Linked DNA regions of Pelodiscus sinensis. The protein of the gene in region 1 purifies or fractionates together with the protein of each later gene. This does not show direct contact. Links are inferred from orthologs where the notes say so. Each region holds a gene or a part of one and is shown on either strand. Other genes may lie near its edges. The genes, in order: GNB5 and GNG2.

Region 1 (15,235 bases):
ATGCTCAGCACCCTTGAATAACAGAACACTTTGGTGTAAAGGTCCATCTCTAAGCACCCATGTTTAAACATTATTGCCAGAGTCCTTTGTTCTCTGGTATAATGCGTAGTACAATCACCATGGGGTTGAGTAGTCCCACTAATGGCAGTGGGATACTTGCATGAGAGAAATGACTTTTGTGTGCATAAGAGGCTCCCTTAATGCCACCTATGTCTGTTTTCATTAAATGAGAAATAATGTATTTGGTTCCAAGTTAATCTACAAGATCATTTATCTTAGTTATGTATGGGCTGTGTTCTGCTCTTTTTGTATATACTAAGGCTATGTCTAGACTACAACTCTTTTTCGGAAAAAGGTATGCAAAATGCACTCCGCAATTTGCGTACCTTTTTCCGCTTTTTTTTATTTGAGAGGATTTTCTGAAATTTGGCCCATCTACAGTGGCCCAAATTTCAGAAAAAAACCCTCTTTTGGAAGATCCCTTCTTCCTCATGGAACAAAGAAGACAGGACTTCCAAAGGAGCGCCTCTGCTCTTCCGCAAAAAAAAAAAGCGGAAGAGCAAACATGTTCCCTGGACGTGGCAGAATTTTTTTGCGATACCTCCCCAGGGATATCCCAGCCCCAATGAAGTCAATGGCAAAACTCTGATGGACTACAGTGGGGCTAGGTTTTCACCCACTGGGTATTAACATCTCACTCCTTAGGTAGACCCACTGAAATAAATGGATCTGCTTCAGGAGGAAAGTGTGTCTCAATCTGAGCATGTGTGGCAAGATCAAGCCCTAAATATAAGAGAGAGGGATTTTAAATGCAAAATGAAACAACTAGCAAAACATAAGTTCACTTTCTTGGTCATATTTCTTTCTGGCCCTTGTAAAATACAGATTGAACCTCTCTAGTCTGGCACTCTTGGGACCTGACTGGTGCCAACCCAGAGCATTTGCTGAACTATGTGAGGTCAATATTGTCTTGCAGCATTACCAATGCTTCCACTGCTTAGTGGGCTCTTAGAAGATATTTAGGGGTAAATTAGAGCTAAATAACAGCACAGAACACTGGTGACTGTAAAGAAATTTTATGGGAAACTTGACCACACCCATGATAAGTGGACATCTGACTAACTAAAATCATGATAATCCATTAATGTTGCCAGACCAGAGAGTCCTGGACTAGAGAGGTTCAATCTAGCTTTAAAAAATAATCAACACTAATCTCATTGTGTCACATCTGTGTAACATTTTTTATTAGTTCACAATACTGAATCAGGGCTCTTTTTTTTTTTTTTTTTTTTAACTTGCCTAACATTTTCCTTGTCCCTTATTTTGCATAAGAATGTGCTAGGTATATCTCATTTTCCTTCCTTGAAAGCTGTAATTTTTTACTTGTTGAAAATGGGGAAAGGTCTTTAAACTTCAGTAACAGCAGTGACTCTGGCTCATGAACAAAAAATAGATTCAATATTTTCCAGCATCCTGAAATGCCAATTTCTGTGTAAACCATCTTGCTATTAATGGGGTTTTTTATAGCTACCGAGTGCATTCTGAACCTTCCCTTCAGTTTTTAAAATGGTTATGAACAGGACAGACAGCTTAAAATATATGGTGGAAAAACAATTTTTGTAAATGCGGAGTCCTTCTGAAGCTTAATCCGTTGTTACGTGTCATTTGATTATGATGGTTCTGTTGCCATTATCTAAGCCAAAACCCAGAATAAGACATTGCAATAGAAAAACATTCCATGCACTATGACAGAAGGATGCTCCTGTCTGTTTCCTCATAAATATATCACCCACAGGGCATGTGCAAGTGATGATTTATCAAGCTTTTGAGATAAGCTGCTGAGAGCTTATCCAGCCTACAGCTGTCTATATATTGTCTAAGATCCATTAGCTACTGAGAGAGTACAGGAAAGGTTTGTCATCTCACTGTCATGCACTCCCCCTTTCTCCTCTGTCTCTTTCAGGTCTCTCCCTCAGCAAAGATGTGTGACCAGACCTTTTTGGCAATTGTGTTTGGTCCTTGTGACAAGTGCTCTAAAGAGAAACCCCTCAGAACAATTTACATCAAATCAGAACAACTCAACTACTGTGCACTATGTGTGGAAATGGTATGTTACAGCCTTTGCCAGAATGAATGCAAAAGTAAATAATGTGACAAGGAGGGGTCAGATGAATTTGCAGAATTCAGTTAGATATTACTTGGATATGAAACTGAAACCACATAGGGTCCCTGCTCTACTCCAAATAAAAGCCCTAGATGGAGAGTACCCAATGACACTCTGAAGGGTAGAGACAAAGTCAACTTTTTGCTCCCTATTTGGAAAGTGGCTAGCTGCTTTTTCCCATATATGGTAAAAGATCACACACGCGATCTGTGCAAGTAAAAGTGCCTGACTAAATTCAGCCCTGGCATAATCATACACAGCTCCACTGAATGGATTACATGGGAATTACACCAGACCTCTATTTTGCCCATTAGCTTTAAAAAAAATAAACTCTGGATGAAACCCCATGAGGTTCTTGTAAAAAGCAGTTTCATAAGAGACCAGTAAATACAACTTTCTTAAATTATCACAATGAACCTGAATGTGATCCACAACCTGCCTGAACTTCTACATGATCCATAACCGATTAGCCATACTACTTTGCACAATGATCATTTCATTTCTCACAAGTTAGCCCGGTGCAAATGAGTTTCGTACTTGGATAGAGTATTCAAAGAAAGGGTATTGGAGAACTTATAGCCATGGGAATTAATTGTGAATTAAGGAGCACTGTGTAGTCAGAAGGCCCTGTCTTCTGCATAAATTTCAAAAGTGAGACCGTGAACATAGGAGCCCATTTACATCCCTATTCTTACCAAAAGGGTACTGTCACCATGGTGTCCTAGCCAAGTTCCACGGCAGATAATTCTGTTCTGCCTATCTGAATTCCCCATGTAGTATTAATTGGAGAAATTATTCTTCTTTGCTTGCTACCCTGTACTTGTGTAGTAGTGTTGAGCAATGTCATTTCAGTGGTGGGTACAAAGAACCTTGCAAGAATGCTGTGAGGCTTACTTAGCTATGTTTACAAAGCCTAGTCAGAGCTTTGGATCAGAATGAGACTGCTGAACCAGTAACTGAGTAAGATGCAGTGAACACAGCTTATCAGCTGAAACTTAGCACATTCTAATACACTAAAACTGGTGAAATAAGTGCATGTAGATATAATGGCTACAATGCAAACAACCTCTTCTCCTCCTCTCCATTTGCTTCTCTTGACTTTGAATATGCCACTTTATCTCAGTTGTACCTGGCCAACACTGTATAAATACCAGTTTACGCAGCAGATTTTTCTGACAACTTGATAGACTGCTGAAACTGCACCAGGAGACTGTTTTCCATATTAAGACTCTTGCAAATTTCTCTCTGCTGCTTATACCAGGGAAGGCAGTATCTTACTGTTTGGAGTTAGGCCATAATAGAGGTTATTAACTGGAAGCAAACTGATGCTTCAGTCAGCATTGCCTCAGCACATTGAATCTTCATAACACAGGGTATGTTAGGCCCCCTATTAAAATTGGAGAAAGATAATTGGTAACAGCAGCAGGACTTGCTGCATCTTGCTTATGCATATTTATTTTGCAATATAGGTTTTAATATCAATATTTATCATATATATAGCTCTGCATCTTCTAACTTCTGTATAAGCAATAAGTAATGAGCTAGGGAAAAGTGTAGGTTCATGGACAGGGAACATTAGTTAAAAAGAGATGAGGGGGCTGTTTTTTAAAAATGCCTGCTTTTTTGTACATGGAAAATATGCACAAACATTTAATTGTGCAATGCTACTTTGCAATGTATTAAGACTGCATAAAATCAGGAATTTGTGTGCATAACTGGCTAGTTTCATGTCAGTGGTCAATTCCATATGCAATTATCAGGTTTCAATATACAAAACAGTTAATTATACATACAAATACAAGACCCAATTGTTCCCATGGGATTTTAAAAATCCCATTCTATATGATTCTTCCAAAGCCATGCCATCAGTGGCAGATGCAGGATTACAGAATTTAGGAATTCCTGGTTTCCAACCATGTGTTCGGTTCATTAGGCCGATTGGCTTTTATGCTAGCTCACCCTTTATTTCTCAGGTCTTTCTTTACCCATCTAGTTTTGAAATGTATGGTAAGCACAAGATACCCCAAAGGGGTTGTGCATCATGTTTTTGCTTTTTTCATTCTTTTAGGATTATTCTATATCCAATCATTCATATTATTTATCATGACATAACTATTCAAAGTGAGCCACTGGCCAAACTGTTCCATGATGGAAGTACAAGTCCTGGTTCCATTGCTGAGTTTTGCATGTAAGGCAGAGATTCTGCCATGCTTACATATGAAGAATACAATGTATCCTCCCCCTAATTATAGCATTTTTCCTTTAAGTAGAGGATGAGTTTTCTGAGTATTTACAAGTAGAGCATTTTAATTTTATTTAAAATGTGCCCTTAAAGGTACTTAGCACCTGTCAGACCATTTCTTCCTACTGTCTCCCAAATGATTTTAACACAGACTTATCAGCCTCTCCATACTGTGCAGACTCATTAAGCATTTGCCGTAGTCGAAGACCTTTTTTTAGGCTTAATGATCCCCTCCCCAATATTCTTCATAACAGATTGTTCATTTTTCAGTAGAGTTGGATTAGCAGCAGGTTTTACAGAGAATTCCACACACATCACTGCCTTCTTTCACACTTCCTGCCATCGCCCATTGTTCTCCATTGGAATGGGGCCTACCTAGCTTCCATGATGGCAGCTTGGCTTCACCCTCATTGGGAACAACAGGAGGGAGCGTCCATTTTGCAGATGATATCTTTGTATCTACATTTCCACTGAGAACAATAGAAAATGGCAGCTGGGTGATGAACTCAGAGATGGAACTCTCTGTAAAGAACTCCATTTGTTAGCCTTCAAGTTCAATAACCTGCCTTCGGCAGCAGCTGGTTAGTTAATGCTTCTGAGGAGAGCAAATCAAACCCTTCTCCCCACAACAGACTTGATCAACTGTGTAATATTGAACATGAGCTTACAGACTGGCTTTGGTATTACTGCCTTTGTCTGTAAAGCTATCCAGGTCCCTTTTAAACTCTATTTGACTCTAGAAACTCTCACAACAGATGACCATGTGATTTGAAATCAATTTGAAAGGATTCTGAATTTGGATTTCAACACAAAGACATTGTGGCACTTTAACTGTTGCCCTTCCTATTTCAGACTAAACACTCCCACAGCAGAATGAATTCTGCAAACATAGGCTAATGACTTGCTTAATATTCATTATGGTAATGAATAATTAATTGCTAATGTATTATTTGTTAATGTTAAAAACACATTGACTCTAGCAGAGATGGGTCTATGGGAGGGAGAAACAAACTGCCAATTTAGACATTATTAACTAAAGTCTCATTTAGTAAATAATGTGGCTTTTTTGAAAAACTTTGACTCAACTGTATGTTCTCCTCTATATTTGTCAACCAAATCTGGTTTATTTTATGGCAAGCTGCAGAACAGCTCTTCTCTAACCTGTTTTTTTAGCCTCGCTAGTTGACAGCCCAACTTTTAATATCCCAGGGTTTGCTTGGGTCAGTTAAATTTTTCTCCTGGTTTCAGACTCACAAAAGATATGTTCCATTGTACTTAGTACTAGCCTGAGCTGTAGTTGATACAGTTCTACTTCCTACCCACCAGACAGAACTTGCTTTTCCCACTGGATGAGAGGTGAGCAATCCGTTAAGATGCAGCATGCTTCCACCTACATCTCAGGTCCAAAGAGTTCTGCCCATTCCCACCCACTAGTTCATTTTGAGGAGTACCACACTTACACCCCTTTTTCACCTTCCCACATTGGGACCCAATATTCTCTGCAACTTTCACTCACAGGAGTAATCCAAATGTAATCAATCTGGAATCTGCTATAAGCACTTTGAGACTGAACTGAATTGATGCTGTGAGACTTTGGCATCCGATGACTTTGATGCCCTCAGTGCTGATTTTCAGCTTCTCCCAGGAGAGACTCAGCTCTTTACAGGACATGAGTTTTAATTCCTGTACACAGGAGATCTACTTAGTCAGATAAGTAAGGCAGCATGGTGAAGCACTGATTTGGCATTTCTATGCCCACCATCTCAAATGCAAGCAATATCTCAGCTGCACTCCAGATTCTATTTTGTCCCCATAGAAGTCAGTAACAAAACTTCCATTCACTTCAGTGTGGCCAGGATTCTTTGGCCTTCAAAAGCTGGGCATCTGACATAGGGCAAATTCCTTTATTAAATGGAATTGATTCTCCAAACTCCTCTCCCAACCCACCCATTGCCTCACCAAGTCAAAAACAGTCACAGTCTTTAATTTCATATAAGCAGATTTAATTCTTCAGATACCAAAACAGCACAGGTTAGAACCTTCTTGTCACTTTCTTGCTTATTAGCAATAATGCATTTGTTCCTCTGACATCACTTTAAGAGTACTGCATTATCCAGTGAGTAGATACCAGTTAGGAAGTGGGTGAGTGCTGGAAACTATTTCCAAAATACCATTTATCCTGGGGAGAACAGAGTGCTGCATCCCCAGTCAGCATCTGTGCTAACTCTTGACGGCAGTTACACCTTGAGCATAGGGATGTAGAAGAGAAACTGCATGAGACAGAACCCAACTGTGTACTGCTGTTAAACACAATGAGACAGGGGCTTTATTTTCTCCTGGGGCCTCATACTTCATCCAGGATGTGCGCACAGACTAAAAAGCAGCTGTGCTTACTTCACATCTCACATTTCAATCCTGGACCTTCTCCAGATTGAACAATAGTCACTTAGTTTGTCCATTTTCTGCCTGAGAGACAATGGGAGTCAATATTAGATCAAGGCCAATTAACAAAAGCAGAAGAGGCTATTTTCAGGAAGCTCCTTTGCAGAAAGACTACAAAGCCCATTTACAGCTGTCCTCTGCAAAACAAACATAAATCAGTTACAGCCTCAATACATCAGAAGCATTTTCTCACACACATGCATAGGCCACAATTAAAGATGGTGCTGGGCAAAATAGTCACAATTACATCAAAATCAGGGATTTATTTGTTTTGTTTTGATTTTGCAAAACACCCATTTTATGGGGGGAGAGAATAATAAACACGTTTATTTTTGTGGCATGTAATAATCCTGATTGTTTTCAACCAAAGCATTTGACAAAGAAGGGGTAAGTATCAGGAGCGCCATTCCACCGAGACACAGAGAAGGGGATGGAGATTTCTCTCTGCTGCCTAAGAGATCTGGATTTCAGGGGGCCAAATCACCAATTCAGTTTTAAACATCTCAGCCCCGCTGTCCAAAGGTCGAGGGTTGGGGGGCTGGAGACCTTGCCAGGCCTGGTACCTTGATCTCTGGTCCTGTTTTTGAAGACAACCCTGTGAATTTTTAAAATCTCACTTGTGCCAGGTTCACGAGTTTCAGCAAACCCCACAAAAGCCTCTTGGCACCAGCCTGGGTGGGATGAAATCCCGGGGCTGAGAAACAGCCTGGCATGGAAACGCTCCTGGGGGAAGTGTCGGAGAGCCCCAGGGCTGGGCAGGGGCTTGAGCAGCAGCCAGCCCGGAGCCGAGGCACCTGCCTTTAGCCCAGGTGGTGCCAGCCCGTCGCTCCCTGCACGGCGCCCGGCGGGGGGGGGGGGGGGGGCGAGCAGGTGCTGAGGGCTGCACCCAGCAGCACGAGCCTGGCCGCGAACGTCAGCGCGCGGAGGGGAGGGGAGCCCCGCGCGGTTCCCAGGCTCGGGCGGCGGGAGCTGCGGCAGCATCCCTGCGAGCCGGGCCCGCCAACCCCTCCTCTCCCTGCCTCTCCCCGCCCGCCGCCTGCCGCGCCAAGATGGCAACCGAGGGGCTGCACGAGAGCGAGACCCTGGCGACGCTGAAGAGCGAGGCGGAGAGCCTGAAGGGCCGCCTGGAGGAGGAGCGGGCCAAGCTGCACGATGTGGAGCGTGAGTCGGGGGCAGCGGGAGGGCTGGGGCGCGGCCGGGCCGAGCGGAGCTGGTGCCTGGCCCGGGCCGGTGGCGGACCCCGGGCGCGTGGCCCTGCGGGGGGAGAGGGAGCGTGTCCTTTGCACCCCGTTCCCCGGCCCGGGTGGGGGGTGGCGCTGAGCCGTGCCCGGGCTGGCGGGGGAGGGGAGGAAGAGGCATTGCTATTGCTGCAGCTGCTCATTGGCTGCTGCTGTGATTCAGTAGCATCCCTGCGGGCGGCAGCAGCGGCCGGGGTGAAATCCCGGCCTTGGAGTCAGGGGGAGGTTTCCCTGCGCCTGCCTCTTGTCCAGTATTTCATCCCTGCGCGTGGCTCCCAAAATCCCAACCTGCTGTGCCCGGGTACCGCTCTAGGACTTCCCAGCCCTTCTGGGGGCCAGATAGCTAGCGAGTCCACTCCAAGCCAGCACTCCTACCAGGCTCCCTGGGCACTAGGCAAGACAGACACACATAGTCCTGCACAATGTGACACCCTTCGACTCTGCTTAACACAGAATAATGTTCAAAAGCTTCACGGAGTAGCCGAGTTAGTCTGTACAGGATAAACTTAAACAACAACAAATAATCTGGTAGCACCGTAAAGACTAACAAAATATGTAGAATCTGTAGATGATATCATGAGCTTTCATGAGCTGTGCCATCTGCATGTTTTGTTAGTCTTTAAGGTGCTACCAGACTATTTGTTGTTTTTTAAGTTTTTACAGAATAATGTGACCTTGTTGGCCTGAAATCCCAGAGATACGACACCTTATTTTTATTACCACTCATTCATTTAAAAAATGTTACACGTATAAATCGTCACATTTTTCTTGAAGTATACGGTTGATGTTACTAGTGGGGTTTTTGGTGGGCTTATTACAACTTTGTTCCTCCTGTTTCTGAAAAAGGGATACAGAACTGTATCTGCTGATTTATGTGATCACTATTTGTTACTCTCTGTAAATTTCAGATTTTTTAAAAAAATACACTTGTTTCTTTTCTGTCACACATGAGGCATTTTCTTGCCTAAATGTGATTATCATAGGTTTTGTCAGTATCCTATTAATAGGAATCATTGAACAGAGATGGCCTCCTCACAGAAACATTGCCATAATCAGTAGTCTTGCAGTATAATTGCTACAAGATAAGCAATAAGGCCTCAGTTCAGCAGACCACTTGAGCATATGCTTAAAACTGTCTCTATTTAATTATATATATGCTATTTCTTAACTTTAATTGTGCATACTCTAATTGTAAGTCTCATGATGTTTGTGGAACACTCTTTTCATGTTTACTTCATAGATCTGTAAATTAATGGGGTTTTTAGAACTTTTTTTTATGAAGGCTGTGTATGTTACCCAAGGTTTGATTTTCTTGACAAAGTCTGTGACTATTAGCATTTTTTCCCTTCATAGGAGGGTTTATTTTGGGTCTTTTTTCCCCTCCCCGGTGTGTTCACTCCTGAGCAAAACTCCTGTTTTTTTGTTTTTGTTTTTACATAGATTTGGGTCTATGTTGATGGCTCGTGGTCTTCCTGTGCTTTTAAACTATTTCCAACAGCTATCTCTATTGGGAAAATAAATAACTTCCCTTTTTATCTCTTAAAATTATGACTAACACTTTTGGTAATGACAAAACCATGATCCTTCCCCCCCCCCCCCCATTTTCCTCCAAAAGAAACTGCCTGCCTTAATAGCTTTTCTCTTCTTTGTTCAATTTTATTTTGAATTGTAGCTCTTTGAAAAATGTGAACAGACATCTGAAGCCTTTTTATTTGACTTGCAATCAGGAAAACTCTCAGGGTTAATTACAGTATTGAAAAGTTTGGATTAGAAATATGAACAATTATATTGTCTATGTGATTTATAGATTTTAGTGCCAGCAGGCACTTTTATAATCATCTAATCTGACATGACCTCTTTCCTCCCTCACATTACCTGCATAACAGAGGCAGAACCCAATAATTTCTGCATCAAGCCTCATAACTTCTGTTTAACTATAGCATACTTTATAGAAGGATATCCAGAGTAACTTGCAATATTCTGTGCTCAATCCTTCATCTTTATTTGCACAAACTACCTTTTGTGACTAGTCCTGGTTAGTGCATTAGAGCTATTCACCCGAGTCAGAGCTGCAAGGTCACACTCATAGTTTGCAATAGTGTCTTTAAAACTATTATAAATATTTTTAAAATTTGTATATGTCTGTGAAGTCTTTTTAGGGCTGCTATGAGTTTGCTTTGGTTTCAGAGTGTAGGATCAAACTTCTAAGAGAGTTATTTGTACTAAAGTAGGCAGTTCTGCAGACTCAGTGTTGCATTAACAGAAAGGAAACGTATGGCTAATGGCAGTAAGATGTGTTTTATTTGTTAAGCCCTGGACACTGGCATTTGAACCTAGCCTTGCAGCTCCCATAACAACCTCCAGCACTTGTATTCTGATTATAGTATTGCAGGATCTCAATAGAGCGTTTGATTGGCTTCACTTGATAATGGTGTGCAGGAGAGGATGTAATTTTTCAATAGGTTTAGCTGATGCTTTTTGGAAAGGCTGGTTTGCTTCTGACCCCTCACAAAGATCAATCTGTAATGGACGAATTGTCAGGAATAATGGGCAGCAATTTAGTTTCCTTGCTATGTGAGATTTAAGTCCCTTGTAAGGCTATGTTTGTAGCTAAGAGCATTATTTTCAGCCCCTGACCCAGTCTGCAAGGCTGATGATTATTGAAAAGCAGATCCATAAGAAATCAATATCAGATGTAGGCAGAAATTGCTCAGCTGACTGTGAGCCAAAGAGCCATCTTTGTAGAGTAAGGGTGCCCGTCCTACTGCTGTGACAGCCCTTCCCAGCTCATATGCTTTCTCACTGCTGCTTAAACAAAGGGCAAAGATTTTAGCTGTGAGTTTTCTGAAGTAATTCTAATTTAGGGCTTGATTCTAAAAGGTACTGAGTTACCCGCAGCTTTCATCAATGGCAATTACATCTACCCAGAGCATTCACTCATCACCAATGGGATTGACCCAGCACTCAAGCTCCAAGTCACTTGAGCTAAAAAAATCTAAAGTCCAGATACAATTGTGTTGTTATCAATGGGAGTCTTCCCACTGATTCTAGTATGAGTGCAGTAGAAACATCTGATTGACTGATATAGGCAACCCACTAGCAAGTGACATGTGGCATCCATTGAATCACACCAGCGTGTCTCTGGATCAGGTCCTCTTTAATCTCTGGGGCTATGTCTACACTGCAGGCTTCTTGCACAAGAACTTTTTGCAGAAGATCTTCTGCAAAAAGTTCTTGCACAAGAGCCCGTCCACACTGCCATGTGTTTTTGCGCAAGAGAGTGTCCGCACTGCTATGGACACTCTTGCACAAGAACGCTCTGATGGTCATTCACAGACTGGCCATCAGAGCACCTGTGCTTTATCCGATAGGGGTTTCTAGCGCAAGAAACCCTTGTTGTCCATCAGCATGTGCCTTTTTGCACAAGAGCTCTTGCACAAACAGGCTTATTCCTCATAGAAAGAGGAATAACTCTTCTGACAATCTACTGTACTTTTTTCTTGTGTAAAAACGCACTTGTAGTGTGGACGCTCTGTGAGTTTTAGATGTAGCCTCTGCAGTGTAGATGTAGCCTGAATCTGGCTATAAGGCTGATTTAGAGCACACAGACTCCTATAACTCCTAGTCTAGCCTATAGCTTAGTGGTCTCCAACCTTTGTAAGCATGAGATCGCTTTTTGAATTTCAGTACAATCCAAGATCTACCTTAGACCCAAACATGCTTGCCCCGGCTTCTTCCTACCCTTCTCCAAGGCCCTGGCCCTGCTCACTCCATCCTTCCTCCCTCCCTCCCCCATCCTCACTCACTTTTATCAGGCTGGGGGCAGAGGGCTGAGGATCTGGGGAGGGGATGCAGATGCTGATCTTGGGCTAAAGGTTTTGGAATGTGGGAAGGGTTCTGAGCTGAGGTAGTTGAGTAGCAGGGGGGTTCAAGGTGCTGGCTCTGGGAGGGAGTTTGGGTGTAGGGGGACTCAGGGCTAGGGCAGAGGTTTGGGGTGGAGGAGGGGTTCAGGACTGGACCTGGGATTTGGAATGTGGGCTCCAGCTGGGCACCGCTTACCATGGGTGGCTTCTGGGTGGTGGTACTGGGGACTAAGGCAGGCTCACACCTACTCCCAAAAGCAGCCAGCAAACTCTCTCCATACCTGCCCCTTCCCGCTTTGTGGAGATGGGGTACAGGATGGGGGAAGGGCAGGGGCACCTCAAGGCAGAGGGCAGAAGCAGCATGGCAGTGCTGAGAGGGGCAGATGAAGTGTCTGCACTTGACAGCCTCCCGGCCAAACCTGTCAGAATCACCTGTCAGAGGCTCCAAGATCTACCAGTAGATCCCGATCTACTGGTTGGTGACCACTGCTGTAGCTCACGTAGCAGCCCCATTCCCTCCAGGCTCCTTGCAAAATGTTTTAATGCTGGTAAAGCCACTAGATCCTCATAAATGCAGATACAATGTCCCCCTCTTACTGTGGTTTTCTAGGGCCAGCCCAGATTCCTTTTGCTCCTGTATGAAAGAAGCAATTTTGTATGTCTTTACTGAGCTCTTGCTAGAATGAACATCACAGAAACAAATTAGACTTCTCAACTAATGCCCCCCGCTGCCATTCATCGGGGACAGTTACAACATGAGGTTTTAGGGGTGCAAAATGGCTTTGCACAGTGCCATGAGTGGGGTGGATTTCACAGTGAGGTGCCTTTGCATATGCATTGTTACAGCCACGTCCTGTTGGAAATCTGAACTTATTTATAGAAACCCCAGCTGGAAAGAAATAACTTAAAACGTGAGAACTCAAGCTGGAAGATTTTACTTCAGATTCTCCAGAATGAATAGAAACTGATCCATAAAGCCATGTATTTTTAGAAATAAACCCTTGCTATTCTCCAGACACAAGTGAAGTGAAAAGGCTTTGTTGTTTGTTACATTGAGGCAGGTTAATGTCATAAGATATGACGCTATTAAAAAAACTGCTCAGCCACTCAGCTTATGCAAGGGCACGTATGGCAGCTGGCACACACGCTGCCTGTGGCTGCCAGTGTGAATTCCGAGTGCAGATCAAACCTGTGATGGAAGTCCAGTACTTATATCACCTTTAGGTCAGAGCTGCCGCATTAAAATGTCCTCTCATTGCTAGGGCTGAAGTTATTTTTAAAAAGAAGCATTTTATAACATTGAAAGGACTTTAGAACCACAACAATCATTTGAGACAAAACACTGTATTAAAAAGTAAGAGCTGCAAAATTTTATGATTGCATATAGTATTTCAGTTAAAAAAATTATCAACAAATGTAAAAAGTCCTAAATAATGTAAATGAATTTTTGGTACATAAACACATTCACAACCTTCCTCTCCCCCCAGTGAACAAAACCTGGTATGCCAGATGGTTTGATTAGATGACATTCTCTAAGGAGTCTTCTGTTTTTAATAGCAATGCTTCTGTGAAGAATACTATACTATACACGTGGTTAGATATGCTTCAAGTGATCCTTTAGCGTCTGATCTTGCAAACACTCACATGACTAACAACTCACCTGTATAGACTCATTGTGCTTCTTGGAATGACTCACATGAGCAAAAGTCACTCCTGAGTTACAGTATCAGTGTTTGGAGGACCAGGGTTTTAATACAGAGCAAACATTTGGTGAGTCTCTTTATGGCTAATTCTCCACAGTTCATCAGGTGGCCGAACGTGTGGAAGCACTAGGTCAATTCGTGATGAAGACCAGGAGAACTCTGAAAGGCCATGGCAATAAAGTCCTCTGCATGGACTGGTGCAAAGATAAAAGACGAATTGTGAGCTCTTCCCAGGTGAGTTATTTGAAGTCCATGATAGCCAGGCACAATTCTTATAGCTACACTAGGTAACATAAATTGGAAATAATACCTATGGTTAGTCTAAAAGCTTTTATGATGCCTAAAGCATTCTTTTAGTAACATTTGTTCAGAAATCATAAACCAGACTACTGAATAAAGAATATAATTCTGGTAAGCATTAACACACCTATTGAAGGTGATACTTTAAAGACCCTTCTTCCATTTTTCATGCAGAATTTTTCCAGTGTCCACAGTCATTTAGCACACAATATTACAATGAGCTGGTTTGAGATCAGATGCCTCTTATTTTTTATGGACACTCAATATGCAGCACACTCTCATTTGGAAAGAAAGAATTGGAATGAGGAAATCTGAAAACATTTTGATTCTACTAGAGAGGTCTCAATGTGATCTGTGAACATGAAATCCTTTTTGTGGTCTGGAAGATTGATGGGACCTTAAAGAAACACTCAGCCAGCTAGAACTACTACAAATATTTGGACATTTTGAGAAACAGTTTGCAAGTCTGTTCAAGATCAGTCTTATGTTCAGGGGGATGGGAGACGTATTGAGATAAATGCCTGTCACTGGTTCACATTCTGAATGGTAATGGCTGAAACTTGTTACATCTGACAGCTGTTTTCTGGCCTTTCTGAAATGAGTTGCTGTCTCAATCTAGTGCCTACAGGATAGAATAGGATATCTGCATCACAAAACCACCATGAGAATTACTGCTGTCTGACACCATTCTTGGATGTCTCAGCCAGGAGACCAAAGATTGAACAGTTAGTAATCTATTTTTTTTTGAAGTGGTGAAGTCTCTGTGTGTAGGTCTGAAAGCAAAAAAGAGAGGCTTATTCCACTTTAAAAATGTATCCTGAAAAAATGTTTCTGTGAACCTGCTTGGGGTTTTAGGTACTGTATTAGCATTACAGGAAAGTGAAGTTTGTTTTCTGTTTGATGACACTTGCATAATTTCACTTTGCATTTTTTAAACTTCTATTTTAAGAATTTAATGAGTCCAGGGAAATAAAAATAGCTGGTTGCAAACAAAATTCACTTTTTCCCAGTCTGGAATGTTAAAGGATATTATGCCAGTCCACAAGATAAGATGATTATGTAGCATGCTATTGATTGCATGTTCATTCTTATTGTTAGGTTACTTGGGTAATTAAAGGTTAATTAAGAGTAGCAGTAGAGAAAAAGAAGGGAGTAGAGGAAGGATGGAATGGGGAAAAGCAGATAAACAGAGTGATGCGAGGAGCAGATGTAACTGCTCATTTGTAGAAGAAAAGAATGAATACAAATTTATTCAGATGGTTGTTTCTTGAGAAGATCAAGAT
Region 2 (15,981 bases), on another chromosome or scaffold:
TACTTCACAAATGTTGGTTGTGGTGATGGGTCGGGCGGGGCCTCTGGCAGAAGGGGGCGGGGCCTCAGGCAGAAAGGGACGGTTCCCTCTAGGCACCGCACGCCCCTGGAGAGGGAGGGAGCCGCCAGCTGTTTTGAAAAGTGAATGACTTTGCACACTCCCCCGCTGCCAAGTCTCAATTAGCAAGGTGGCTGCAGGCCAGATCAAACAGCCCACGGGCTGTATCTTGCCCACCCCTGCACTAGGGCCATTAAGGACCCCTCCACTTAGGAAGGAACAATCAGTTTCACATAGTGGGTATGTCTAGACTACATGGCTCCGTCGACGGAGCCATATAAACTAGTTTACTCAGCATAGTCAATGAAGCGGGATTTAAATAATCCCCGCTTCATTAAAATAAACATAGCTGCTGCGCTGTGCCGACAATCAGCTGATCCGGCACAGCACAGCAGTCTAGAGGCGGATCTGTCAGCTGGAGAAGCCTTTGCCGACCGATTCTGTAAACCTCGTTTCACGAGGGATAAGGGATCGGTCGGCAAAGGCTTCCCCAGCCGACAGATCCGTGTCTAGACTGCCGTGCTGTGCTGGATCAGCTGATCGTCGGCACTGCGGCGGCCATGTTTATTTTAATGAAGCGGGGATTTTTTAAATCCCCACTTCTTTGCCTATGCTGGGTAAGCTAGTTTACATGGCTCCGTCAACAGAGCCATGTAGTCTAGACACACCCATACAGAATGGGAAGTGACTGTCTAGGAAGGAGTACGGCAGAAAGGGATCTAGGGGTCATAGTGGACCACAAGCTAAATATGAGTCAACAGTGTGATGCTGCTGCAAAAAAAGCAAACATGCATTAACAGGTGTGTTGTGATCAAGACACAAGAAGTCATTCTTCTGCTCTACTCTGCGCTGGTTAGGCCTCAGTTGGAATACTGTGTCCAGTTCTCGGCACCACATTTCAAGAAAGATGTGGAGAAATTGGAGAGGGTCCAGAGAAGAGCAACGAGAATCATCAAAGGTCTAGAGAACATGACCTATGAAGGAAGGTGAAAGAATTGGGTTTGTTTAGTTTAGAAAAGAGAAGACTGAGGGGGGACATGATAGCAGTTTTCAGGTATCTAAAAGGGCGTCATAAGGAGGAGGGAGAAAACTTGTTCATCTTGGCCTCTGAGGATAGAACAAGAAGCAATGGGCTTAAACTGCAGCAAGGGAAGTTTAGGTTGGACATTAGGAAAAAGTTCCTCACTGTCAGGGTAGTTAAACATTGGAATAAATTGCCCAGGGAGGTTGTGGAATCTCCATTTCTGGAGATATTTAAGAGTCAGTTAGATAAATGTCTGTCAGGGATGGTCTAGCCCAATGATCCCCAACGCGGTGCCTGCTGGCGCCATGGTGCCCGCCAGGCCATTTCTGTGCGCCCGCCGAGTGATCAGGGCCAGCCCCACCCCCAGGGCACGTGGTGAATGGGCAGTGCCGGCCCCTGGGTGCGCAACGTATGGGTGGCCCCGCCCCCGGGTGCATGGCGCAAGGGCTGTGCTGGCCCCGGCCCCGCCCCCAGGCACGCGGTACATATGCTGTGCCAGCTCTGGGCACGTGGCGTATGTGCATCCTTGTCCCTGGGCATGCAGCACAGGAGCAGCACAGGCCCCAGGGGTGCGGCACAGGCGTGGCGCTGGCCCTGGGTGCGCGGCGCATGGGCGTCCCTGCCCCTGGGCACACAGGCAGGAGCAGCGCCGGCCCCAGGCGCGCAGCGCGTGGGTGATACCAGCTCCTGGGCGTGCGGCACAGGAGCGGTGCTGGCCCTGGGAGTGCAGTGCATGGGTGGCACCAGCACTGGGCACGCAGCATATGGGTGGCCCCGCCCCCGGGTGCCTGGCAGCCCCAAAAGGTTAGGGACCACTGGTCTAGCCAGTACTTGGTCCTGCCATGAGGACAGGGGACAGGACTTGATTACCTCTTCCAGTTCTAGTATTCGATGATTCTATGAAATGCAACAAGTCTAAAGTCAGCCTCTTCTCAGTTGGTACTGGGTCCTGCAGCAATACTGGGGATAGTATATAAGGGCTTGTCCTCCTGCTTCAGAAGTGCAAGCCCTTCCCTCCTGAGCTAATGGAGAGTCGCCATTAGCTGCTGGCAATAGAGGGTCTATGACACAGATGAGCTATGTGCATCTGCAATGACTATCAGCTAAAACTTGTGAACCCTTTCAACTGTAATGCACAATCGGATGAAAGGAAAAAACCACAAGAAACATGCTGGCTATGAATAAGGTGGGTGTCCAAGGCTTCCAGTCTGGTGGAATCAGTCCCCCAAAACAAAAAGGCATCTGTGCAATTGTCCTGTCATCCGTCCAATATGCCTAGCAAAGATATTTCCCCCTGCCTCGCCTATCCAGGCTCCTCATCATCCCCAAAAAGGACCCCGCCTCCTTACTTGGACAGAGAGAGATTGACAATGAAAATGTGTTTTTCCTTCTTGCGAATGAGGGAAAATAGGTTTGATAACAGGGGTTTGGAGAGTTTTTGTGGGGGCTTTTTGTTCGTGATTTTTTTTTTAATTACTGCCGGCTTTGTGTTGCACAAAAGCTGACCTCATCCATTGCATTTGCATGGCAACATAGGAAATCAGTCATTCAGGGTTGCCATGGTAACCAGAGGGGAAACCCATGTTATCACCGTCCATTGCCTCCTTTCCAGGAAACGTGCAGAAATTCTAGACAAATGCAAGAAGCACACAGGGCGGGGAGTTGCAAGTTCTTGCGAAATGCCCTGGCGAGACAAGCTGATTGTAGCATGTGTTTCTGCAGAGTTAAAGGCGCTTCTCCTAAGCCAGCGGTTCTCAGCGTGGCCTGTGCACCACTCGTGGGCTGCGACCATCTTGCAGGTGGGCCATGGGCTCAGGGCTTCTCTCCCCCACCCCGGGCAGAAAGCCTGTGCTGATGCTCCAGCCCCAGGCCCCCCTGGCCCTCATGAGGTTGAAGTGCCAACGTCGGCTTCCTGCTCCGGGGGAGAGGGTGGTGAGCCTTGCGGCCTGGATCCGGCTTGCAGAAGAAGGAAGCAACACTATGTGCTGTCCCTCCCCCACCCCCAGTTAGGGCAACAGCACCACAGGAAACCACTCGCCTGCTGCTCCCATTGGCCAGAATCATGGCCAATGGGAGCAGCGGGGTGGGTGGGTCTGGGTAGGAGGCACAGAGCCAGGTCAGTGCTCCCTAACCCCCTCCCTCCCAGACCCTCCACCCCTCCTCCTGCACCCAGTCTGTCATCACGAGGGGTTGGCTGGGTGGTCTGCGTTGAGCGGGGTGGGCCGTGGGCCAACAAATTTGAGAAGCAGTGTCCTAAACCCACAATGCACTCCCAGGCCCATGCGAATACACTGTCACAATGTTTGGCACGGAATTGAAAAGGTTTCCCTTTCAGGCTCAGGCAAAGCCATAGAGTGCAAAAGTCGTAGCACCAGTGGGCAGCAGATCTAGACTACAAAAGCAATCTGCCTGGCTGCTGTACGTTGTCCTAGTGCCATGGACTTCAACGGCACTACCCTGATTTACACAAGTTCCACATACGGTCCTGCGAGCATTAAGGGGAGAAAAATCTTTTCTATTTAACCAACTGAAAAATCAGCCCCCAAACACACTGCTCCTTGGTTCTGGGCTGCTACAGGAGGTCTGTTTGCTGGCATATACGAATTTCCAGAAATCGTAGCAGGGGGAAGGGAAGTCTTGTGGTTAACAAGATGGAGAGGGAGTCCATCTGGGTTCCATTTATTGTCTCTTCTCCTTCTGTTCCTTTGTGCATGCTACTCAGTGCTTAATTTGTGCCAGGGCTTGCCAGGGCTCCGTACCACCCGGCTCACGGCACCCCACTCCAGCCCTTGGCATGCCATGTAGCTCTCCAGCAGCGATTTCTTGGGCTCCAGGCTCCACATGCCATCACTGCTACAATAGCAGCACCGGGACCCCTGGGGCCTCTTTGAATCCTCGGGCACCAGGGTAATTGCCCCCCATTGGCAGGCCTGGCACCTCTAGGCGGGGCAGTTCACAACGCCAGCACCTCTGAGTTCACCCTGTCAGTTATGAAAGTGAAAAAAAAATTCCTTGAGCCCCGGCACCTCTTTCATTACAAATTGAGCCCTGACATTACGTATCCTCCCTCTCTGTAAGAGGGGGGTGGATAATACTCATCCACTTCCATGCTGCTTAATGACCCTTGGACCATTAAGCTTGTGAAGTGCTTTGAGTTGCCTAAGTGAAAAAGCTCTGTCCAAAAAGCAAAGCCTTGCCATTACTTCATTACGCCTGCATTCTGTTAATAAAGTGCACGGCTTGTAAAGTGCAGGCTGTCATTATGGACGGGCGTGGCCGGAGCATCTGATCAGGACTCCATTGTACGAAGTCCTGCATGATTACGGGTAGGGAACAGCTTCCGTCCGAGGCGAGATGAAAAAGACTGGGACTGTCCAGCTTAGCAAACAGGACGGAGATGAAATGAATAGGCAGCAGGTTTAAAACGGACAAAAGCAAGTGCTTCACACAACACACTGCCAACCTGTGGAACTCATTGCCAGGGGACTTTGTGAAGGCCAAAAGTATAACTGGGTTCGAGAAAGAATTAAGTTCAGGTCCAGCAATGTCTATTAGCCAAGACAATCAGAGAAGCTACCCCCATGCTCAGGCTACCGGAAGCCGGGGCTGCATCACTCAATAATTGCCCTGTTCTGCTCATTCTCTCTCAGGTGTCTGGCATTGGCAACGGTCAGCAGATGGGCTATTAGGCTAGATGAACAGTTGGTCTAACCCATTTTTCTGTTCAGATAAAAGAAGGAATCGCTTCCTCAAAGAGCTCTGGTGCTGGCAAAAAGGCCTGTGGTCTCCCACACTCTTGGGGGCTCGTCAGTTGAAGATGGCAAATCCTCATATAATTCCTGCTCTTTACAATTTTTTCTGCTTCTCAGAAACACAAGCAGCTCCTTTGAGCCAAGCCGGTGAGCCCATTCAAATAGTATATTACTAAAAGATTTCCCAGGTGTTGCCCAGGTCTGGCCCGGGGGCTGGGGAGGGATGGCCTGAGGGGGCCAGCCTGGGGTTGGGGGGACCACGGAAGCCTCTTGCTGGCAATCTGTAGGCCTGGGCCTGGAGTTTGGCTGCACAGGCCTTCCAGCATGGCCATACCACACAGCCCCGTCGGTAGGGGAGTCGGGGGGGCTGCATCGCCCAGCCCCAGTGGTGCTCCGGGAAGTGGCATGGCGGTAGGGCTGGGGAGACTTCTCCTCCCCCTCCCCGGGGCGGTGTTATGGGCAAGGACCAGGAGGAAAGCGTTTGGGAAGCGGAGCCGCTTTCCTGGGCCAGTGGTTTCTCTTCCTGGTGGGGCTGTCCCCCAGTAGTAAGTCTGCCCCCTCCCCGCCCCACTCGCTGCTGCCATTGGTGACTGTGCAGTCTCACGTCCCTCCGATGAGCCCTCTTCCTTTCCATGATAGGGAAAACAATCGAATTCCAGGCATGTCCCATTTTCCTGCCACAACCAAACTCTGGCCTCATTGCATTTCAAATTTGGTGGTGCTAGCTCTTACCATTGAGGAGAGGTTCTTGACCAATTGGACTCACAGAGAGAGAGATTATAAAGCAGCAACATGTCAAATGCCACCTTATTCCACAGAGATTCTTGCTTCGCAGCCCACAAGGCACATCTCCACTGCAGCTAGAGGCGAGCTGCCCAGCCAGGACATTCAGACTAGCAGAGCCCAAGCTAACGCATTGAAAACTTGCAGAAGCTCAGGCTGGCCACCCATGCTTGGACCCACCCAGTCCCTGGACGAGCCGGTATTTGGAGGCTCAGATTAGCACTGCCAGACTCCTGAAAAAAATCAAACCATTGTACATGGGCATATAAGGCCTTTCCTTCCACCTTCCACTGGATATACTTTTCTGCAGCGAACAACTGTAGAATTATTTTACTCGCTTTGTGCCTGTGATTTTGCAGGTGCAAATAATTATCCTGCTGTACCATTTAGGTTATTTAGACTTTTAAATAGTGGATTTGTAGGTGTAATCAGGTGCTGACAGCTAAATGAGCTAAATTGTGTCTGTGGGTATTTTTAGGTGCTAATACTTGGTGCAAAAAAAAGAAGCCATCTTAAAAGAAAAAAAAGCCAGCAACAAAAATTCTCAGATGCGGCTCCCGACTTGCTTGGATCTGGCCCCTGAGGCTTTGGGTATGTCCCCCCCTCCCCTGCCAGGATTAGGGAGCCAGTGCTGGCACTCTACACCCCCCCACCCCCACTGTTCCCCCATGTAGCTGAAGCACACAGAATCTACTAGCCTTCCCCCCCCCCCCCCAAGGCTCCGGTATGGAAGGAAAGTGCAGGAAGCATCTTTTTTTCTCCATCTCAGTCAGTGGGTTTGGGGGTTGGTTTTGGTTTTTGGTTTTTTTGCTTCTCACTTGTAGGCACCCCCCAACTGATTTTTCTGTGAGTCAGCAACCCCTCCCCCCCAGTCCTAAAATGTTTCTCCACCCCAGTATTCAAGTGGACACCTTCATAAATGTTAGTGCTCAAGGCGATGCAGTGAACTGGGGAGATTTGGCTTCTATTCCCAGCTCAGCAACTGCTCTGCTGGGAGAAGGAGATGGGGACAAACCTGCCTGGCCTGTAGTTACCTCACCACGGAGGAGTTACCGCTTGGTTTGGAAATGTTTGCCTGGAAGCAAAAGCCTTTGATCAGCTCCCACAGGCCGTGGGTAGGTTGGTAGATTAGAGGTAGCAAAGCATGGATAGAAATTGCAGGGACGGGGGGAGATGTGGGACAGCGGTGAGTGAAGGACGTGGGGAATGGTTAGGCAGGGTGACTGTAGGGCGGGGCGAGTTGGGGACGTGGGTGGCAGCAGGTAGAGGACTGGCAGCGTGTCCGTAGGGAACCAGTGCAGGGAACCGAGGAGGTAGCAGAGTGGGTAGGGCATCAGGGGCTACCAGGAGGGGGGAAGCGGTGTGTGTAGAGGGGGTGGGGACAGCAGAGAGGGCAGGACTATCGCCAGCAGGGTGGCGGTAGCAGAGTGGGTAGAGGATGTGGAGAGCCAAAGGGGTGCAGTGTGAGGCATAGGCTGAGGCCAGGGAGCAGAAGGGAGTAATGGGAGTGTTCTGAGGTGGGAAGACATGGGGGGAGGAGGCTCAGCTGGGGAGTCATCCATGGGGAGGTTGTGGAGGATTCTGAGGGGGCATCTGTGGGTCAGAGGGGGGGTTCTGGAGCAAGGCGACATATGTGGGGCAGTGGGGAGTATCCGTGGGTCAAAGGAGGCATTGGGGGATTCTGGGGCAGGGGGAGACATTAATGGGGCAGAGTGGGGCTGTGGGTGGGTGGTTTCTGGGGCAAAGGGACATCTGAGGGATAGAGGGGACAGTGGAGGAGTATCCATGGGGCAGAGAGGACAGTGGGGGGTATCTGTGAGGTGGAGGGGACAGTGTGGAGGTTTCTGTGGTGGAGGGAGCAGTGGGAGAGGGTATCCGTGGGGCAGAGGGGGTTCTGGGGCAGATGGACATCCATGGGGCAGTGGGGGAGGGTATCCGTGGGGTTCTGGGGCAAGGGACATCAGTTCGGGGTATCCATGGGGCAGATGAGGCAGTGGGGGGGGTCTCCATGGGGCGGACAGTGGGGGGTAATCCACGGGGCAGTGGGGGGTCTTCGTGGGATGGACGGGGCAGTAGGGGAGGGACATCCATGGGGCAGCGGGGGTTCTGGGGCAAGGGACATCAGTGGTGGGTCTCCATGGGGTGGAGGGATAAAAGGGGGTCTCTGTGGGGCAGAAGGGACAGTGGGGATTCTGGAGGGGCATCCATGGGGCAGCGGGGGGGGGGATCTCCGTAGAGGGGACAGGGCAGTGGGGGTTCTGGAGGGACAGTCGTGGGGTAGTGGGGGGTCTCTGTAGGGCAGAAGGGGCAGTGGGGATTCAGGAGGGACATCCATGGGGCAGTGTGTGGGGGGGTCTCCGTGGGGAGGACGGGGCAGTGGTTTCTGGAAGGACATGCTTGGGGGTAGTGGAGGTTCTGGGGCAAGGGACATAAGTAAGGGGTCTCCGTGGGGTGGAAGGACAAGGGGGGGTCTCCGTGAGACAGACGGGGCAGTGGGGGGTCTGGAGGGACATCCGTGGGGCAGTGGGGGAGGGTATCTGTGGGGCATAGGGCAGTGGGGGGTCTCCGTGGGGCGGATGGGGCAGTGGGGAGATCTCCATGAGGCAGCGGGGGGTCTCTGTGGGGTGGAGGGCAGTGAGGGGTCTCCGTGGGGCAGAGGGGCAGTGGGGATTCTGAAGGGGTCTCCGTGGGGCGGATGGGGAAGTGGGGGGTCTCCGTGGGGCAGATGGGGCAGTGGGGGGGTCTCTGTGGGGCAGTGGGGGGGCCTCCGTAGGGCAGATGGGGCAGTGGGGGGGTCTCCGTGGGGCAGACGGGGCAGTGGGGAGTCTCCGTGGGGCAGACGGAGCAGTGGGGGGGGGGTCTCCGTGGGGCAGACGGAGCAGTGGGGGGGGGTCTCCGTGGGGCGGCGGGCGAGACCCTGGCGCTGGGGGCAGGTCGCGCGGGCGGGGCTGTCAGGGCACGGGGGCGGGGGCGGGGGCGGGGGGGGCGCTGTGGGGGCTCGGGGGCGGGGCGGGCGGGGCTGTGGGAGGGGCCCGGGGGCGGGGGGCGCTGTGGGGACCCGGGGGCGGGGGGGGCGCTGTGGGGAGGGCCCGGGGGCGGGGCGGGGGGGACGCTGTGGGGGGGGGCCCGGGGGCGGGCGGGGCGGGGGACGCTGTCGGGGCCCGGGGGCGGGGCGGGGGGGCGCTGTGGGGGGGGCCCGCGGGCGGGGCGGGGGGGCGCTGTGGGGGGGGCCCGCGGGCGGGGCGGGGGGGGCGCTGTCAGGGCCCGGGGGCGGGCGCTGTGGGGGGGGGGCCGGGGGCGGGCGGGGCGGGGGGACTGTGGGGGGGGCCCGGGGGCGGGGCGGGGGGCGCTGTGGGGGGGGCCCGGGAGCGGGGGGGCTGTGGGAGGGGCCCGGGGGCGGGGCGGGGGGCGCTGTGGGGGGGGCCCGGGGGCGGGCGGGGCGGGGGCTGTGGGGGGGGCCCGGGGGCGGGGCGGGGGGCGCTGTGGGGGGGGCCCGGGGGCGGGCGGGGCGGGGGCTGTGGGGGGGGCCCGGGGGCGGGGGGGCTGTCGGGGGGCCCGAGGGCGGGGCGGGGGGCTGTGGGGGGGGCCCGGGGGCGGGGCGGGGGCTGTGGGGGGGGCTGTCGGGGGGCCCGGGGGCGGGGCGGGGGGGCTGTGGGGGGGGCCCGGGGGCGGGCGGGGCGGGCCGGCGAGCGGCGCGGAGCCGGGGCGGAGGAAGTCGGAGCCGCGCCGCTTCCTGTGCCCGGAGGATGAGCGCAGACAAAGCGGGGTGGGGACGCCGCTCCCAGGGCTGCCGCTGAGCCCGCCGCGCCCCGAGCGAGCAGGTAACAGCCCCGGCCAGAGCCCCGGGCGCGCCCAGGCGGGCTGCTCCGTGCAAGCGCCGCTCACCAGCGGGTTCACAAGCGGGTTCACAAGCGCGGCTCACCAGCGTGCCCGGGGGCCAGCGCTGCGCGTGAGAGCCGGGCTGCACGGGGCTGGGGTCGGGGCCGCCGGGGAAGGAGTCGCTGGCCGTGCCCGCCCGGCTGCGATGGCCACGGAGCCGGCAGACTGGCCGGGGGTTGCCGGTGGTTTGCGAGCCAAGGCGGAGCACGGACTCGGTGGAAGCGGGGCGCGCGTGGCTCTCCGTGCAAATGCTCCGCTGGTGCACGGATTTCCGTGTTGTGCCTCCTCGCCCTCGAGGCGGCCCGGGTGGCACCCAGCCTGGCGGGGGAAAGGTGGGGCAGCCCGAGGAGAAGTGCCCGTGGGCTCTGAGCAGAAAGGTGGCCAGAATGCAAAAGGCGTCCGCGTAATTCCTTTCCTAGAGCACTTGCAGGGGAGCGGGTCCGTTTTAATGTGTCTTCTGCTCCCCTTCCCAGTGCCATTCACAACCCGGAATACAGGGAAGGGATTGTCTTGAGAATTCAGATTGTGAAAACAAATAGATGGGGGTGGGGGTGGGGGGTTAAAGATTGTCAGTAAAATGGGATCTTTCCAAAGAGGGCCCTCTCCTCCACAAAGGTTTGATTTAGAATTGCTGATCCTCCCTGAATCAACTCATTTGCCATGGTAGGAAAAGCTTTTTCTTGCATGAATGAGGTCTAGTGTTCCTTTTATTTATTTATTTTGGAAATGGATGGAATTTTCATTTAACTGAAATTAATCCTGCCCCCCCCCAGTCATGATTGTATAGACCTTTATCATATTGCCCCTTAGTCCTCTTTTTTTCAAGTTGAAAAGTCCCAGTCTTATTAATTCATCTCATATGGCAGCTGCTCCATATCCCTAATCATTACATTTATCAAGGTAATGTTGGTAAATGTAAAGTAATTGCATATTGGAAAACATAATCCCAACTATACATATACATATTGCATTTGCTTAGCCATTCCATACCCCCTAATCATTGCATTTATCATCCATCAATGGCTATTAGCCAGGATGGGTAGGAACGGTGTCCCTAGCCGCTGTTTGTCAGAAGCTGGGAATGGGTGATGGGACAGATCTCTTGATGATTCCCTGTTCTGTTCATTCCCTTTAGAGTACCTGGCATTTGCCACTGTTGGGAAACAGGATAACTCAGTAGATGGACCTTTGGTCTGACTCAGTATGGCCAGTCTTACGTTCTCTCCAAAATAGCATAAAATCAAACTCAAGAATTTCAGTCGTACGTAAACGTCTAATTCCCAAGCTCTTTGGTTTAGTATCTTTTGACCCCTTAGTTAAAGTTACCATTGTATACCAAAGATGGACTACCAAAGTATTATCCACACCCTTTCTCCACCTCCTCATGTAGTAGCAGTTGGACAAAGCAAAAAAGAGCATCTGTATAAAAGCTGTGAGTTCAGACTGTTATTTTTCAAAACACATTTTTTTTAACGGGATTTTACAGGAAGTACTGGTGATCTGTAACCATTTAATGAGGGCTAACATGGCAAAGGAGTATTTTTTTGTACATTGCTGTTAGAAGTAAATGCAAAATTATAAATGATATGCAGGTGGAAAAAATGAACTTGGGGAAACTTAATTTTCTGTATTTGTTTTTCAAAGAGTCAAATTGATGAAGCAAAATCCCTTGAAACATGAGCCTTTTTAGCTACATTGATTGAAAATGGATTTATAGGTAAACAAAAATCCCCATCTCTTCCTCCTTTTACTCCCAAGGTATGATTAAAGTTAGAGAATGATAAACTAAAAGGTAATGATCCTTAACATGCATGACAAAAGTAATTGTCATACTGTGATACCTATTGTCTGTAGTTGTTTAAAATTCAGTTTATTGTTCCCATATTTTATTGAAGGATCCAGAGACCGGCATAAAGCTGTATTTTGTTTTGTTTTTTTCCTGGCCAACTCCCAGTCAGGACCCTCCCACTGCTATCCCGAAGACAACACAGAACCACAGCTTGTAGTTCTGCTCAGTAAACAAACCTCTTAGTTGTCAGATAGCTTGGGCCAAAAGATGAACCTGTATTTTGGTGCAGTATAAGGAAAAAGGTTGCTATGTGTACTGGCAGCATCATGTGTGCAGTGCAATAATGGGGCTTCTGTTTATAGTTTGACTGTATTTAACTGGATTTCACTGACTACATTTTGAGACTGAAATTTTAATCCTCTTTTCTGCCATATGGCCAGTGGATGAAATGAAATATAACTCAATTAATTATCCCATAGAAAGCACTCGGGTGAAGTGTGTGTGTGTGTGTGTGAATTGCCTTCCACTCATGGAATATGTGGCGTGTTAGAAGCATTTGGAGCAAAAGCCTGTCTCTAATAGTGTCAAAGAGCCACGCGGATAGTCGTGATCAGTTTAATTTTAAGGCAGTGCTCTGAATGCAGGCCCATGTGCTGTTGAAGCACATTCACAAGGATTATAATAGGCCTTTTCTAATACACCGCCAATCTTTTGCTGAACTGAATAATGCTATCATCACAGCGTTGCAGTGGGTACCGTCCGTTCCTTACCCCATTGTTCCCCATGAATATCGACATACATCAGTACCACCAGCCTGCTGAACAGTTCTGTAAATGCCCCCGTCGTGGTACTGTTTGGACGAGATCCCTCCCCACCCCCCTGTAACTGAGAAGGGATAAAATGTTAGTTATTTTATTTTCTTTTGTTACGTTTCCAACTTCAACTCCCCCTTTTTCAAAAGATGGACTTAAAGAGTTCTGTGTCGGCTCGAAAGCTTCTCTCTTTCAGCAACAAAAGTTGGTCCAATAAGAGAGATTCTCTCACCTTGTTGTGCTAATCTCCTGGGACAGATATGGCCACACAACACTGCAGACTACATAAGGCGTCCTGTCTACATACTAAATATACTTTTTCCGCTCATTGCAGTATTTAGTTACTGTACCATGAGCCTATCAGAAACAAGTGTGGAACCAATGAGTATTTCTGGAATGGGGGATCAGGTCACATAACATCCTCCCCCCGTGTCCTGTTGGTTCTTTAATATATCTTTTACCCTTGCACAAATGCATTTTTCTGCTGTGTCGCAGGACGGAAGAAAGAGCAGGCCTGATTTAGAGAGGGCATTCTGGGTATCAGGGCCATTGGGGAATGTAGTGCAGGATTGGAAGGAGGATACAAAGTGGCACATCAATGCCTGGGTGCAGGATAGTGCAAAACAAGGCTGGAGAGCTAGGGAGAAGCTAGGCTGTGCAGAGCCTTGGTGAGGAATTTGAATTTGATGCGGAATGATCTCTTTTCTCAACTGGGGCTGCTAAATGCTTTTAAATGCTGCATTAGGAAGGTTTCTAAGCAGCATCCAGCAAGGACTTGGCTGGCCCTGTGAGTTTCTTGCTGGGCTGTTTCTCTCCAAAGCACGCTTCGTGCCGCGGTGCTTTTCCATCCCAGTTATTCCCGTGGCTGAACGTTTAGGCTGCTTTACCTGTGGGAATTGCAGTGTGTAGCTTCTGCTGATGTTGGCCAATGGGGCGCTTCATTTCCACTCTCCTGCAACTTTGCCCCCGTCCGTGATGGGGAGGTGTCGTCGGGCAGTGCACAGGAGGGGGAGAAATATTTTTGGCCATGTCTCTTTCAGTTTGAGAAGAGTTCCCCTACCTCCTTTGGGGCAGTAGGTGTGCTGTAGCACCCTCAGTTGTACATGACAATCATACAGAAGGTGGTATGGTATAAGTCAGTGTTTCTCAACTTTTTTTTTATAATAAAGTACCCCTTTTTCAAAACAAAAAAGTACCCCCAGTACCTACAGTTTTCAGACACACAATTTTTTTTCTACAATTGCAACACGTTTGTTGGAACAACTTAATTGTAGCTGGGTGGGCGATGAAATTTTTGGGTGTAAAAAGTACAAAAATAATAAAACTTAAAACAAAAATTCAGTTTTCTCCAAATTTCAGTTGTTGACATGCCCTCCCCCCACCCCGACTTCTCTCGATTACCCCTGAGGGTACTCGTCCCACTGGTCGAGAAACACTGGCATAAGAAGGTCTCTTGAGAAGAAGTGATGAACAGAGCTACTATCACCAGAAAACATGGAACTGTAAGCTATACAGAATCGGGCAAAAAAAGGTCTTGGATTTTGCTGCCCACAACTTGGGAACTCCTCTTGGAATGCGGGCGAGCTGGAGTAGGCGTGTGTGTCTGGACTGGTCCCTCTAGGGAATCTCAGCAGCACTGTGCTTACCCTCTGCTCCCCCCGGGGCTGGCAATTTATTCAGAGCATATTGAGACTGGCTCTCCAGATGCAGAATCAACTCACCTGAGATCTTGGCGTGAGCAAACGTTGCCCTAGTGGGCTCCCGTTCAGCGAGTCGGGGCGCCTCTTCCCCGTGCCAGCTGGAAGCTCTGGGGAGGGCAGGGCTTGTTAATGAAAACCTAGACAGTGCCTGTAAAATACAGGTCGGATCAGACGGGGTCGCACGTAAAGTGCTGCTCTGTCTGAGGCTGTCTGCAGAGACGTGCGTTGACGGGAACCTTGGGAGCTCCTTTGGCTGCCCATTCCAGCTGTGCGGCTCGCCGCAGCTGGGCTCAGCCTGCCCCCGCGCGTCCGTCTGGGTGCCTTCGCCGACAGGTTTGCCAGACGTTTCTTGGACCGCACGAGGAGGCGTTGGCTCGAAATTGGATTCCGCTTTCAGGGAAAGTTCTAACCCTAGTTTCCTCCCTGCTGTTCAGTGTGTCTGCACTTCCTGGTGGCACAGCGCTGCGTCAGGGGTGGGGAGGGGGGGAGTGACGATGCAAGGCGCCCGTACAATCTCGCCGTTTTCTGGAGGACGAGTCAGGTTCTGCGCTCGTTTACACGCCCATGCTACCTGATTGAAGTGACCCCGAGCCATGCTCTGTGCGTAGCTTCATCGCCGCACAGTGGCCAAAACCTGGCAAATCTCTCCCCTAGAGGGGAATCCTGGGGTCTAGAATGACTGTAGCTACTTTTATGCTGATGACTGTGCACACCCAGCGGCCAGCCTCGGATGTGTCCCAAAATAAAGGGGGAACGGACAGGCCTCCACTTCCCTCCAGTGATCGCTAGTTGTCGTAATGGCTCCTTGGGTCCTGCCCACTGGGACGGGTTAGAGTAGCCTAACCCGTAGTAAGAGAGACTGACCTCGTGAAGAGCAGCCCATGTTTCCGCAAGCCCCCTTTGCAGGCTTTGGACAAGCCCAGGCAAGATGGGACATGAGGGGCCAGATCCTACCCGCCTAACGCTTTGATCCAGCCTGCACACGGCATCTGGCTGTTTTCTCATTATATCCTGCAGCTGGTGTCACCGAATTTCCAGGAGGAGGCTCAGAGCAGGATCCTATATAAATGGCTCACAGGCGTGGTGCTACCCTGGCAGGAGACAGAGCTGCGAGCCCTTTAAATAGCCGCAGTAACCCTGGGTGGCTTCCAGGCAATGAGATAGTCCTGGGCCAGGGGCAGGGAGCCCTTTGTTGTGTTATTAATTCAAAGCCTCCAGCCCCAGACAAGTCTGGGGGAAGATTAGTCCCTTGGCCCCGCCCCTTCCATCCCAGGCCCCGCCCATTCTGGAATGTGGCGGGTAGAGCCAGTCCATGACCACGTACCAAAATTCATTGTGGCCCTTCTGCAAAAATTATTGCCCACCCCTAGCTTAGGGTCTAGCTCGGTGCCTTTATCTGCTTGGTCTTTGGCCATTAAGATGGTTTACCAGGATGTGTAAGCAGAATTCATAGACTCACAGAATACTAGGACTGGAAGGGACCTCGAGAGGTCACCGAGTCCAGTCCCCTGCCCTCATGGCAGGACCAAATACTGTCTAGACCATCCCTGCTAGACATTTATCTAACCTGCTCTTAAATATCTCCAGAGATGGAGACTCCACAACCTCCCTGGGCAATTTATTCCAGTGTTTGACTAAATGCACCTGGGCTTTTGTTTGCGAATGGTTTGTCTAGAACGAGCCACCTAGTTTGCTGCCAAAACAAGACTGATGTCAAAGATGTGGAAGATGTAATGCAGAGGGTGGATAGCAAGAAGCATTCGCCATTTCAGCTGGATTTAGGCTAGGGTGACGTTCTGGTCCTGTTTTGGAAGGTGATGGGGCTAGGCCATGGGCGATGAAAGGTCTGTCTGTTTTTCTGGTGAGCTCTACATCATACGTGGATGTGAAGTCACTTAAGACCAGCGTGCCTTTCCATAGCGTGTATCTAGGTGAATGAGTCATGATTTTTACTCCGTATTTCCTTATTTGCCAAGAAAATCTGCTTTCTGTAGATGACAGCTGCTGACTGGCCTTGAGTCTTGTTAGCTAGGACAATAATTGGCAGGTGCATAGGAGAACAGCTGACTCCAGCCTTGGGGAAGATAGACTCAGAAGCGAGTGAAATAGACTAAGTGCTGGGTGCACAGAGCTGTGAGCTTCCACCAAGCAGTGCTGCAGAGAGGCTGGTGAGAGCCAGAGTGGG

The links.
Region 2: the proteins of GNB5 (region 1) and GNG2 purify together in Homo sapiens (affinity purification with western blotting; 4 studies listed by BioGRID and IntAct, with this or other methods). This does not show direct contact. The link is inferred for Pelodiscus sinensis from reciprocal best matches to the Homo sapiens genes GNB5 and GNG2.

What each region holds. Positions count from the first base shown.
Region 1 is NC_134724.1:25,287,883-25,303,117, reverse strand, and holds the start of GNB5 (guanine nucleotide-binding protein subunit beta-5), read left to right. Parts: upstream 1-7,640; 5' UTR 7,641-7,897; coding exon 7,898-8,009; intron 8,010-13,749; coding exon 13,750-13,886; intron 13,887-15,235. UniProt on the Homo sapiens protein: Enhances GTPase-activating protein (GAP) activity of regulator of G protein signaling (RGS) proteins, such as RGS7 and RGS9, hence involved in the termination of the signaling initiated by the G protein coupled receptors (GPCRs) by accelerating the GTP hydrolysis on the G-alpha subunits, thereby promoting their inactivation.
Region 2 is NC_134714.1:7,147,599-7,163,579, forward strand, and holds the start of GNG2 (guanine nucleotide-binding protein G(I)/G(S)/G(O) subunit gamma-2), read left to right. Parts: upstream 1-9,282; 5' UTR 9,283-9,437; intron 9,438-15,981. UniProt on the Homo sapiens protein: Guanine nucleotide-binding proteins (G proteins) are involved as a modulator or transducer in various transmembrane signaling systems.